Linked DNA regions of Saccharomyces cerevisiae S288C. The main gene of each other region encodes a partner of the protein of the gene in region 2 in a complex. Each region holds a gene or a part of one and is shown on either strand. Other genes may lie near its edges.

Evidence for each region.
Region 1: RPL9B (region 2) and RPL29 share a complex: the UniProt entries of both Saccharomyces cerevisiae proteins name them as parts of the large ribosomal subunit.
Region 3: RPL9B (region 2) and RPL6A share a complex: the UniProt entries of both Saccharomyces cerevisiae proteins name them as parts of the large ribosomal subunit.
Region 4: RPL9B (region 2) and RPL36B share a complex: the UniProt entries of both Saccharomyces cerevisiae proteins name them as parts of the large ribosomal subunit.

What each region holds. Positions count from the first base shown.
Region 1 is NC_001138.5:222,677-225,060, forward strand, and holds RPL29 (60S ribosomal protein eL29 RPL29), read right to left. Parts: upstream 762-2,384; coding exon 582-761; downstream 1-581. Other genes in the region: RRT5 (Rrt5p), read right to left, coding at 1-283; MIN10 (Min10p), read right to left, coding at 1,034-1,297; QCR6 (ubiquinol--cytochrome-c reductase subunit 6), read right to left, coding at 1,650-2,093; phosphate-sensing transcription factor PHO4, read right to left, coding at 2,344-2,384. UniProt on the Saccharomyces cerevisiae protein: Component of the ribosome, a large ribonucleoprotein complex responsible for the synthesis of proteins in the cell.
Region 2 is NC_001146.8:497,886-500,769, forward strand, and holds RPL9B (60S ribosomal protein uL6 RPL9B), read left to right. Parts: upstream 1-1,795; coding exon 1,796-2,371; downstream 2,372-2,884. Other genes in the region: forkhead family transcription factor FKH2, read right to left, coding at 1-404; YNL067W-B (uncharacterized protein), read left to right, coding at 1,532-1,672. UniProt on the Saccharomyces cerevisiae protein: Component of the ribosome, a large ribonucleoprotein complex responsible for the synthesis of proteins in the cell.
Region 3 is NC_001145.3:122,721-125,925, forward strand, and holds RPL6A (60S ribosomal protein eL6 RPL6A), read right to left. Parts: upstream 1,453-3,205; coding exon 1,438-1,452; intron 1,023-1,437; coding exon 507-1,022; downstream 1-506. Other genes in the region: TCB3 (Tcb3p), read right to left, coding at 2,010-3,205. UniProt on the Saccharomyces cerevisiae protein: Component of the ribosome, a large ribonucleoprotein complex responsible for the synthesis of proteins in the cell.
Region 4 is NC_001148.4:75,154-77,809, forward strand, and holds RPL36B (60S ribosomal protein eL36 RPL36B), read right to left. Parts: upstream 1,087-2,656; coding exon 1,071-1,086; intron 833-1,070; coding exon 546-832; downstream 1-545. Other genes in the region: GTPase-activating protein GYP5, read right to left, coding at 1,516-2,656. UniProt on the Saccharomyces cerevisiae protein: Component of the ribosome, a large ribonucleoprotein complex responsible for the synthesis of proteins in the cell.

The DNA.
Region 1 (2,384 bases), on a different chromosome or scaffold from region 2:
TTTGGAAAACGGTTCCGTTCAAGTCTTGAATGGCCTTCAAAGCCAGAGTATTGTTTGCGAACTGGGCAAATGCTATGCCTAGTGGTTTGCGAGGGTTGCTATTGTGCCTTTTGCTGAATCTGCGGACGGTCTGCGTTGGAATCAACACTGAACTGGCGCCATAGTTGTTTAGGAAGGCATGTAGGTCTCGCTCACTCGCCGTGAATGGCAGGTTCGAAATGTAAACTGTGGTAATGGTAGTGGTAGTGTCACTGGTAGTGTCATTGTTAACTTGTTCTGTCATTGCGGGCTTGTTTGTATGCTTATGTGAGGCCTTATACTTCTCTATGTGTTGCTACTCAGTAGAAGGTCAACACCATTGTTTTATACATCATTTATCTTTTGTTATTAATTTGTGACGCTTCCATTTTGTGGCACATAAGGAGGAAAAAGAAAATTAAAAGAAAAAAAAAAAGAAATAAAAAAAGAAAACGGTACTGGATATTGAGATAAATTTTCCTTCAATTAAGATAATAAAACATGTTATATAAAATCAGACAAAATAATATGTAAATTTTTAACGTATTATAATCTTAAAAAGTTTATTTCTTGGCAGCAGCCAAAGCCTTAGCAGTGCCGTGTAGGGCATGCTTGTGGTTTCTTCTAAACTTTGGATCAACACCTTTCAAAGAAGGGTACTTGTAGGTCTTTGGCTTCTTGATACCGTTTCTGTGAGCCTTTCTGGTTTGGTTGTGAGCGGTATGGTTCTTAGACTTAGCCATTTTCTGGAGAAGACGATGAATGTACGCAGAAATTGCGAATGGTCATTAAAGGTTAGTAAAAATGATTCATAACGGTGGAGGGGAGTAGCGTGGCAGCTAACTGCCAATCTGAAGTGGTGCTAGCGGGGGCAACTTCGAACAAGGGTATGCTAAAGGTAATTGAACGTTCGAGAAAGAGCGTTCGCTATAAGTTCAAACACTGGTAACTTTCCATTATTTTCCCTTCTCTCTTTTTTTCTTTATATCCTCCACTATATGCCACTCAGCGCACCTCAGATTTGGCTACCTGCATTTCCAATGGGCGAAATGGGGACTTCATGATAATATAACGTACTTTCTAACTGTATTGTTGTTCCGGGGTTCTTGAATATTGAATGAAAAATGTTATAAAATAATGGGTTGAATCTTGAAATATGCAGTATTGAAATATTCTGAAATTGTATGTATCCAGAGATTATGGCAAAGCCTAAAGGGAAAATGGTAGACTTCCTACATTGAGAATATCGCTGGTTTTCCCGAGCGCGGCTAGCGACCATTTTTCTTTGTCCTTACAGAACTAAAAAAAAAAAACCAAAAAAAAGTCGAAAACAAGAATACATGCGCTGTATGGGTCTAAGAGTATGTACGGATGTAAAAGAAAACAGTACTAGACAGAGCGCATAAAAAAAGCCTAATCCCTTTTCCGTCTGTATACTTGTGCTCCCTTATAAAAAAAATTAAAAATTAAAAAATAAAAATAAGAATAGTGTATAAAATTATTTTTGCTTTGATTTTAGTTTATTTATTTACTTTCTAAATACAGTAGGTTAAATAAGGATCGGTTTCTTGAAGAAATTGTAACAAGACTCAGAATAAATATGAATATAGGGAATATGACGGATAAACAGACTACTTTAATTTGTCAAATAATCTAGGTGCCGTGGCAGTGTCCAAATAGTGCTGTAGATGGAAAAACTCCTCCACACAGTCCTCCTTGTGTTCAAGATCCGCGTAGCCGGGTTGTTGTTGCTGTATCTTGACTCTCTCAGCACACTCCTCGTAGTGGTGCACAAGGGCCTTACCCTCCTCCGTGTTCTTGAAATGTTCTCTCAAATCTTCCAACTGATCAGTGACTTCTTCCTCTTCTTCCTCATCTTCGTCGTCATCATCATCATCATCTTCGTCTTCGTCTTCATCCTCATCTTCATCCCCATTTTCTTCTTCTTTTTCTTCTCCTTCTGCTGCCTTTTCTTCATGCTGCTCGTTATCGTCATCTTCGGCCGCGGCCACAACAGGCACAACGGTTATCTTTAGTTGTTCCCAGTACTCACCAACTAGTTCCAACATGCCCATTTTCTATTTCTTTTTCTTTATCCGTGTGTGTAGGTGTAAGTGTATATGTGTGCTTCTGTTAATGTGAGTGCGTGTATACAATATGTGCAAATAAGCGCCAACCAATACTGCCCTTAAGACTGAGTAGGTCCTAATCTCGAAAACCCGGTGTGGGCCACTTTCCAGCAAAGCGCCTCTTATAACAAGCACCGCGCAGGGGAGGCGCGCCCCAGTCCGATATGCCCGGAACGTGCTTCCCATTGGTGCACGGTCACGTGCTCACGTTCTGCTGTAGGTGACGGATGTACCGGC
Region 2 (2,884 bases):
CAACCGCCGATATTCATGTTGTATTTTATTATGGCGTGCTTTCTAGAAACGACTTTGGCAGGTCCGAGATCAATATTCACTCTATATGAGTTTTTTACACCATCTGAATTTTCCTGTAGTGCACTGTTTAAGGGATCAGTATTTCTACCAATAGAAACTTCCAAATCCTTCACATAATAGGTCCAGTTTGGTCCGGAGAGTTTAGCATAAGCTTGTATTTCCGTCGCCATGTTCTTGTCGTTGGAATATTGTAATGATACGGTAGTTGGCTGATCTGGGGCTGTCAGTGAAGAGATGATGGCATTTATTACACCTTGATGATGCTGAGCGGTATATTTTGTGCTGCCATAATTTGTTTGAGTCATATTTAGTTCGTTCATCTCGTTAAAATTGCTGCTGGACATTTCTTGCGCATTGATAAAGTTTCAATAAAGGAAACGGAGGGAGCACACCAATATTTATGTGTATCGTACTGTTTTTTTTTTTTTTTTCTAGCAATGATCACTTATGCGAGGGAATCGGGAAGATTGGCTTTGAAGTGTTTTTAGCCTTTTGTTCCTTAGTATGATCTTGATTATTGAGCGGTTCAATTCAGTGGAAAAGGACTGCTCTATAGTGTTTTAAGTTTTACAGAAATATAGTGATCCTATGAATGTCACTTTTTTGTTTACCTTTAGAAATGCGGAACCATTGGCATTTTTTTTCTTTATTTACTAATTTACCTAGAAAATCCAAATGGCACAGGGCGAGCGAATTTTTTTTCCCTCTTTTAATGAGCGAAATCGAAGATTTTCGGTAATGTTGTGCGAAGGGTTCTGGGGCGGGGTCCGGCATAAGTCATCATCAATGCTAAGGGAACGATTATATGGCACAGAAAGAGACAGGAAGAAGAGGCCATCAAAATGTTGCAGCTTAAGGGATAAGCATAAAGCGTAATCAATAAAAAACAGCCTGTACCCAACAGGCAGCAAATTTTTGAAAGCCTGTTGCAAGATACATATGACACAAATTATTAAAATATGTTGAATTAATATTCAGTTCTTACAGTTGACATGATCCGACTCAAATGTTAATGTTCTTGAGGTTCTATAGTTTCAAAATAGCTTTTTACTTTCTGCTATTGGACCCTTTTGGACCAGCCGAAGGAAGTTTTTTTTCTTTATGTTTAGCTCTTTTTTCATCACTTCTAATTCGCAAATAGAAGGGGAAGGAGGACAGCAATTATGTAAAAATTAATTAGTATGTCAGTAACAAAAAGAAGAGATAACAGAGGTAGTTCCTCTAGACATTTTTAAGACGACTATTGATGCCAGGCAAATTTTGGATTTACTGCTCCTCTTTTAAGAAGACAAGTGTGTGATATCGTAGCGGTAGGAACCAATTTTGCAATCGATTTACTTACAGCCAAGAAAATCTATTTTCATGTTTAGCATTGCCATTTCTTCTGTGTCACACGTTGTGCTTGCCAGGAACTATAGGAGAGACGTATACAAGCATCAATGTTACGAATGTACGATCCCGTTTGCATCTGATGTGTAAACTCATGTGGTGCACTGGTGTTGTTTCCAAGACTGCACTATTAACTGGGAATTTTTTTTTTTCTTCTAGTGAATTTTTTTTTAAAGCGACGCACAGGAAAAGTGAAAATTATTTAAACGGACGGCAAACATGAAAAAAAAAATTACCAACCATATTTCTATTTCCTTTCCCTTTACCTATTCTCTTTTTGAAATAGTTCATTTTCTCTCTCTGAAACGACAATAAACCAAACTCTAGCCTCCAATAGTCACTAAAGATGAAGTACATTCAAACCGAACAACAAATTGAAATCCCAGAAGGTGTTACTGTCAGCATTAAGTCCAGAATCGTCAAGGTTGTCGGTCCAAGAGGTACTTTGACCAAGAACTTGAAGCATATTGATGTTACCTTCACCAAGGTCAACAACCAATTGATCAAGGTTGCTGTTCACAACGGTGACAGAAAGCACGTTGCCGCTTTGAGAACCGTTAAATCTTTGGTTGACAACATGATCACTGGTGTCACCAAGGGTTACAAGTACAAGATGAGATACGTCTACGCGCATTTCCCAATCAACGTCAACATTGTTGAAAAGGATGGTGCTAAATTCATTGAAGTCAGAAACTTTTTGGGTGACAAGAAGATCAGAAACGTCCCAGTTAGAGATGGTGTTACTATCGAATTCTCTACTAACGTAAAGGACGAAATCGTCTTATCTGGTAACTCTGTTGAAGACGTTTCCCAAAATGCCGCTGACTTGCAACAAATCTGTCGTGTTAGAAACAAGGATATCCGTAAGTTTTTGGATGGTATCTACGTTTCCCACAAGGGTTTCATTGTCGAAGACATGTAAATGGAACAAAAAAGTGTCTTTGCGCTTAGAGGCGCTTAAATATGTACATTATTCCTACTTTTTTATTTAGTATTATGTAAAGACTGAGGTTCTTTGTCATTGGATGTGCCTCACTTCCAATGATGAATTGACAGGCTCTCTAGGGAATGCTGTCAAGGGGAAACGTTGCTAGTGCTCATTGAAATAAAGAGCCACTTTACGTTTTCTCAAATTGCTTTTGTTTTTTCTTCTATTGATGCTAATTGCATATTTTTTGGTAAAGGAAAGAAACACTAAAAAATAAATATTCTCTAATACGTTACAAATGATTTTCTTTTTTCTTGAGTCTTGCAATCATACCCGTAGCTTTCTCTTGTTCTTCGGCTATTGCTTTAAATCAAAATGATATCTGGGTGTACCAGCAAGTTTCGAAATGAAAACATAAAAATATGGTTACCCGACATATATGCTGGTTTAATACTGGTTAAACTGAACAGAAGCATCTCTTTTCTCTATTAGGACGTAAACGACAAC
Region 3 (3,205 bases), on a different chromosome or scaffold from region 2:
GTCTTTTCTACTTTCAATTTTCTTATCTTTGTTCTATTCCCGTTCCTGTTCTATTCCCGTTTTATTTGCTGTGAGCAGGCCTTGTTATTGCCAACGTTTAAAACCATTTACTTTTTGTTTAAAAATCTCTCTTCTATTTCCACATCTCACCTAAAACAACGATCATTATATAACATGAGGTGTATTGTTTTTCCTCACCATACGATCAAATATAACATCACAAAGCTTACAGCAGAGCGACACTTTTTTGCTTAACAATTTGTATTTTGTATGATGCATCCAAGTCTTGCGCCAAGAAAGTCTACATTATAGGAAAGATCAAAGGAACTTGAAATAATGTATTCCTTTTTCTTTTCACGCCCTTTCTCTGGGTGATTGCCGCAATGAAGATATAAATATGCGAATAAAAAACCAATGCTCAATACAAATGCACTTATGAAACTGTAGTTAAATTATAATTTTACCTGCATATATATTATTATAGAAGTTCGTTAAAATAATTATATTTAAAATTTCAACATGTGTGGCTTGTCACCGTTCTTCAAAGAGAAAGAAGCAGACAAGTATTGCTTCAATAATGGAGTCTTCTTGATTTCAGCAATCAAAGCCTTGTCGACAACCTTTTGGTCTTCAACACGTTCAGCCTTGATTTCCTTGTTTTGTTGTTCTGGGAACAAGTTAGCTTCCTTCTTTTCCTTCTTAGTCAATTTTTCCTTAGCAAAGTATTCGACATTGAATTTTTCAACGTTGACACCTTCGACAGAAACCTTAGTAGAGGTAGCAATGACGTAACGAGCATTGACTCTTCTCAAAGGAACACCATTGACCTTGAATGGACCAGAAATCAACAAAGTGTTGTCTTCTAGATGCTTCAAGTAAACAACTCTCTTACCTCTGAAACGACCAGCTAGTAAGATCAAGACGGTACCTGGAACTAGAGAGGCACGCAACTTTTGTGGGCGAGCAGCCTTTCTGGTCTTCTTTAGAGCAGCGACGTCTTCGGATGGATACCACTTTGGAGCCTAAATGGAAAAAAGAAATATCAAACGACTAATGTTAGTATTCTTGATTTGCGAATGGTGATAAATTTTTATAGGGAGAGATTATGCCTAGCGATTTGAAACTGTAACGTGGGCCTTTGTTTGGAAACTAAATAATCATGAGCTAGGGTCGATATACCTTATTGCTTTGCTCACCTTCTCACTCATAGTATTAACATTGTGTTGAAAGGTATACTGCCTTAATCATTTATCCTCACTGTACACTGTATAACGTCATTTATCAGTTTTCATTGTATTATTTTGTTCGACGTCCTGATCTTATTGTTTCTTGTATGGATATGTCTGAGATTGATGGCATCATATCAAATTTCAAAACTTATGCCTTCGTGAATGTAAATTGACATCTCCCCCTCGAAATTAACATGTAGGAACATACTTTTTGGGCACTCATTTCGTTGGATGGCTATTACTTTGTTGTTTCGCCTAATGTAAAACTGATATTCAATCTTTAATGAGTAGTACATTTAATCTATTCATGTAACCCTTCCATTCGATAACCTCCATACCAACGAAATTTTGCAAAAGGAACAAAGCACACTCCAGTGGGAAACTGGACAAATCCGGTGAGTCCTCCCAGACGGGAAACGTGTCTCTCGCTTCTGTTGTCCGCCCAGCGGAGAAGCCCTCTCCAGAACGCTTTAGCCGCAACCGCAATGGTCTAGGCGGGCCGCTTTTCGAATCTGGTTAAGGAAAAAACTGAAGAAAAATATAACAAATCCATACATTTTAATAATGTACGGATTTAATAGCAGTCTTCACATTTCTTTCTTCTCCCTAAGCAGTAACAGGAGAGCGTTGAAATATGTTGTAATATATGTTGTAATATATTATAGTAAATATAACGTTATATAATAATAGCGCAAAATTATAACAAACACAGAAAAGACACCTGTTAACACACCAAATGTGCCCTTATTGAGCGTATAAAAGAATAGTTTTCACTGTTTATTACTGCGTGTATTCTTGAGGAACTTCTGGCACGGGAGGTACCTGACCATTCTTGTCTTTACCGTAATTAATCTTTACAATCAGATGACCGTCTCCTAATTTTACAGAAATTTGGCCATCTTGTTGAATTTGAGGGTCACCCAAGTTGATTTGAGCAATACCAAGATCTTTGTCCCTCGATAGTCTTTGATGGGAAATTGCACCCAGTACCAAATTGGCTTCGGGAGAAGCCTTGAACGAGCACTCTTCATCAAATACGGCAACACCATCATTATTGGCTTTTTGGCTTTTCGTTTTGTATATGTGTTTTAGTCTACCACCTTGAGTTAAAGAGATCTTAATTTGAACATGCTTGGCAACGTTTTCCGCAGCAACCACGGTAATAAAACCATTGTAAGTGCCATGAGGAGCTAAAGTACGCGCAAAACTGCTTGCACGAGAATGTCCTCTAGAGTTGCTACTAGGGGTATCTTTTTTGTTGCTTGAGCTAGAAGTGTTGTCAGTTGGCTTGACTACAGGAGATGCGCTTTGAACGGGCGCGTAACTTGTGTTAGGTACTGATGGATCATAGTCTAGTGAAGCTCTTGGTGTTACACTAGTGCTATTCAAATTACTTGGGGATCTCCTATCAAAAGATTTTTTCTCTGATGATTTTTTTGCACCGTTGGACTCATTTCCATTGCTGCTCTTGCTTCTTTTCATTGGATTGCCACCTAGAGATTTTAGAAGGTGACCACCTTTCTTTAAACCACCAGTGGCAACTCCTGTTGCTGCTCCTATACCAGTACCAGCTATGCCAACAGTTGCATGGGCTGCACCACTGGCTATTTTCATCGGCTTATCAGTGATACCGCCTTTCACGATATCAAAACTTGGCTTGATATATTCTGGGTTGAATGAACCTTGTAATTTGATACTTCCTTGTGTGTTTAAATTCAAATTCCAGTTGTAAGTTTTACCAACTTCTAATGAGGAAACGTCAAGTGAAGCTTGGCCTAAGTCGTCATTATCACCTGCACGATCCCAATCAAGAACATTAAATATGACTTGATTCTTACTTCTTGAAAGGATTGGTATTTTAGCATCTTCGTTCCATACGGGATCCAATGTTTTCTTTTTAATGTTCGATTTGAAAACTTTTTTATCATTGACAAAGATGTGAACAAATGGATCTGAATAGCCATTCCTATCTGCGG
Region 4 (2,656 bases), on a different chromosome or scaffold from region 2:
TGGTTCCAGATCGACGGAAGAGAACGTGCAACCCTTTGGGCTGGTTATGAAACAACGCAGATGGAGAATATGGCTCACAACCCCAAGGGACTTCTTGGTTTGGTTTTGTTTACAGTTTTTTGCTTGGCAAAGGTGCCATCGTTTGTCATGATAGCATGACGGTAGCAGGCATCATTGATTTTGCAACTGTTGCGGACCAGGACAGTGGGTATGGTGTAACTTCTGTAACACACCCACAAATGTGGTTGAGTCTCTAATGGAGATGAGTGAGTGGGCGAGCCAGGATAGGGTCTTTGGCATGTGCGGTGCTTACCCGGAAGGGAGATGCGCACGTGACTGTTGAAAAAGGGAAAAGCAGAGGTAATGAATGACGAAGTCGGTTCATTGCATGTGCTGTTACACTTCTTAAATAGATATCGATTAAGAATTACTATAATGATTTGTTACTTATTTTTTATTAACTAGCTTTGGGGGAGAGCCATGGAAAATAGCACTCGGTCTTGTGGCGGAGTTGGATTTGCTTGACTGTGGCCCCCTCACGCTGTTTAATGACGACGAGAGGCAGCAATGATGTTGTTCATTTCTTCGACCTTAGCCTTGGCTCTGGTGAAAGAACCCAATCTCTTCTTGGCGACCTTTCTGGCTCTCTTTTCACCGGAGTTTCTGATCAAATCGATCAATCTTCTTTCATATGGGGACAAACCGGCGATTTCTCTAACCAAAGATCTGACGAACTTGGTTCTGTTGGAGGCAGCACCCTTCTTGTAGGAGATCTTTGGGGCTGGAGTCATTTGGGTGACTTTCTTACCCTTGTTCAAACCAATAGCGATACCTAGAGGAAAAAAATAGAATATCTTATGTTAGTAACAAGCACACTAGTACTCACGTAGTATACGAGCAAAATAAATAAACAAAGACTCCACGGAGTACTGCAACGCTGGGTGCAGGATATAAACGATGTTTGCATATCTCTGGAGCTTAATCTCATCCTGTTTGTATTTCTGTTGTTGGCTTAGTGGTTCAGTTCATTTTGCTTTTGCTCTACAGTTCATTAGTTCAGGTAAACATACCAGTCTTGACAGCCATTTTGTATTATCCTTGCTTCTCTATTCTGTTTTGACTATGGTAATACACGAACTTAAGACTTAACGCTAATTAAAACGAATATTCAAGAAATGCAATGATGTGCCTCTTCCTCTGCCTCTCTCTCTCTCTCTCTCCTAGTGCATTCATGCTAGCTTCCCTCGTCGGGCTTCCCTGAACAGCCTTGGTTGGCAACCCAATGAAAAAGTTCCGCGCACGCGGTATGTGCGTCTTTCGCAACCAGACCTCTCGGTCATGGTCGTCTCCCGCACGGTAAAGCGGAAACAAAAACCCAACACATCCGTGGATGTACGGGTGAAAATACAGTCAAAAAAAAAACAACAACAACAACATTGTCTAAACGAGTCGTGATGCATTTTTTAACACAAATTGGAGAGGCACACAATGTGCACACAGCGCAAAACTATACATCTATTTAAAAACTTTTTTAAAACCAGTCCAGCCTTTCCTCCCTTTAGCCTTAGAATCTCGTTCCAATAACGATGCCGTGGACACTTGCTCCTTATTGATGTTAATCAACTCATCGATTTCCGCTTGCAGTTCAGTGATTCTTTCCTCTAATTGGCCGTTCTCCCTCATCACCTCATTGTTCCTGGATATGGTCCTTTCCAAGTCTTCTCTCAGATCTGCCTTTGGTAGTGACGCGTCCGGGTTCGGTAAATTTTGCTTGCGAATCTCTTCCTCAATTTGGCTTTTGATATCAGTGATTGTATTTATCAGGTCGTTTTTTTCATCCAACAGCATCTCCATATTCAATCTGTTCTGAATCAGCTCGTTAGCGGCGCTGATATTCTCTTTGTTCAAAATTGAATAGTCGTGTTCTAGCTTCTGCGCCTCTCTTTGTAGTTGGTGGTTTTGAATTCTTAGTGATTCGTAGTGGTCCTCTTTTTTTTGCTCTTTTTCATGGATTTCTACGTACTCTCCCCTGTATCTTCTTAATGTTAATGGTGTGATATATACACCTGTCATTGCATCATGAACGAAAAGATCGACATTGTAGGAAAAAGTGCCGTCATCATTGCCCTTAAATGAGTTCCCATTTGACAATCCCATTTGCACTACAGAAGCGTCATCCTGGTTTCCCATTAAATAGTAATTGAAGAGTTCGTCCTTTAAAAAATCCAATAGTTCATCGAATCTCAATTTTACTAAAGTTTCTTCATTCTTTAACATTAAATTTACAGCAAACTTCAAAAGCACTTCAATACCCTCTACGAATACAATATCAAAAATTCTTAACACAAACTCTAACGGAAACTTGTATGCGAAAAATGTCAAAAACCATTGTGTAGCGTACATTGTGGAGCTAATTCCCTCACGGATCAAGCGATTGTACAAAGAAGGTGAATGCTCCTCTAATAATCTATCAAATTGATAAAGCATTAACATCAGCCCAGGCATTCCTGGTAAGAAAAGCTCTCTTAATCCATAATTCTTCATTAATCCAACGAGTAGTCCAAAAGATTCGGCCTCGTTTTCACAGTTTATTAATAGCGGCGCTGCAATGAACCCCATGCCTTGCGTGTACCCAACATCTGGATCATAAACAGAA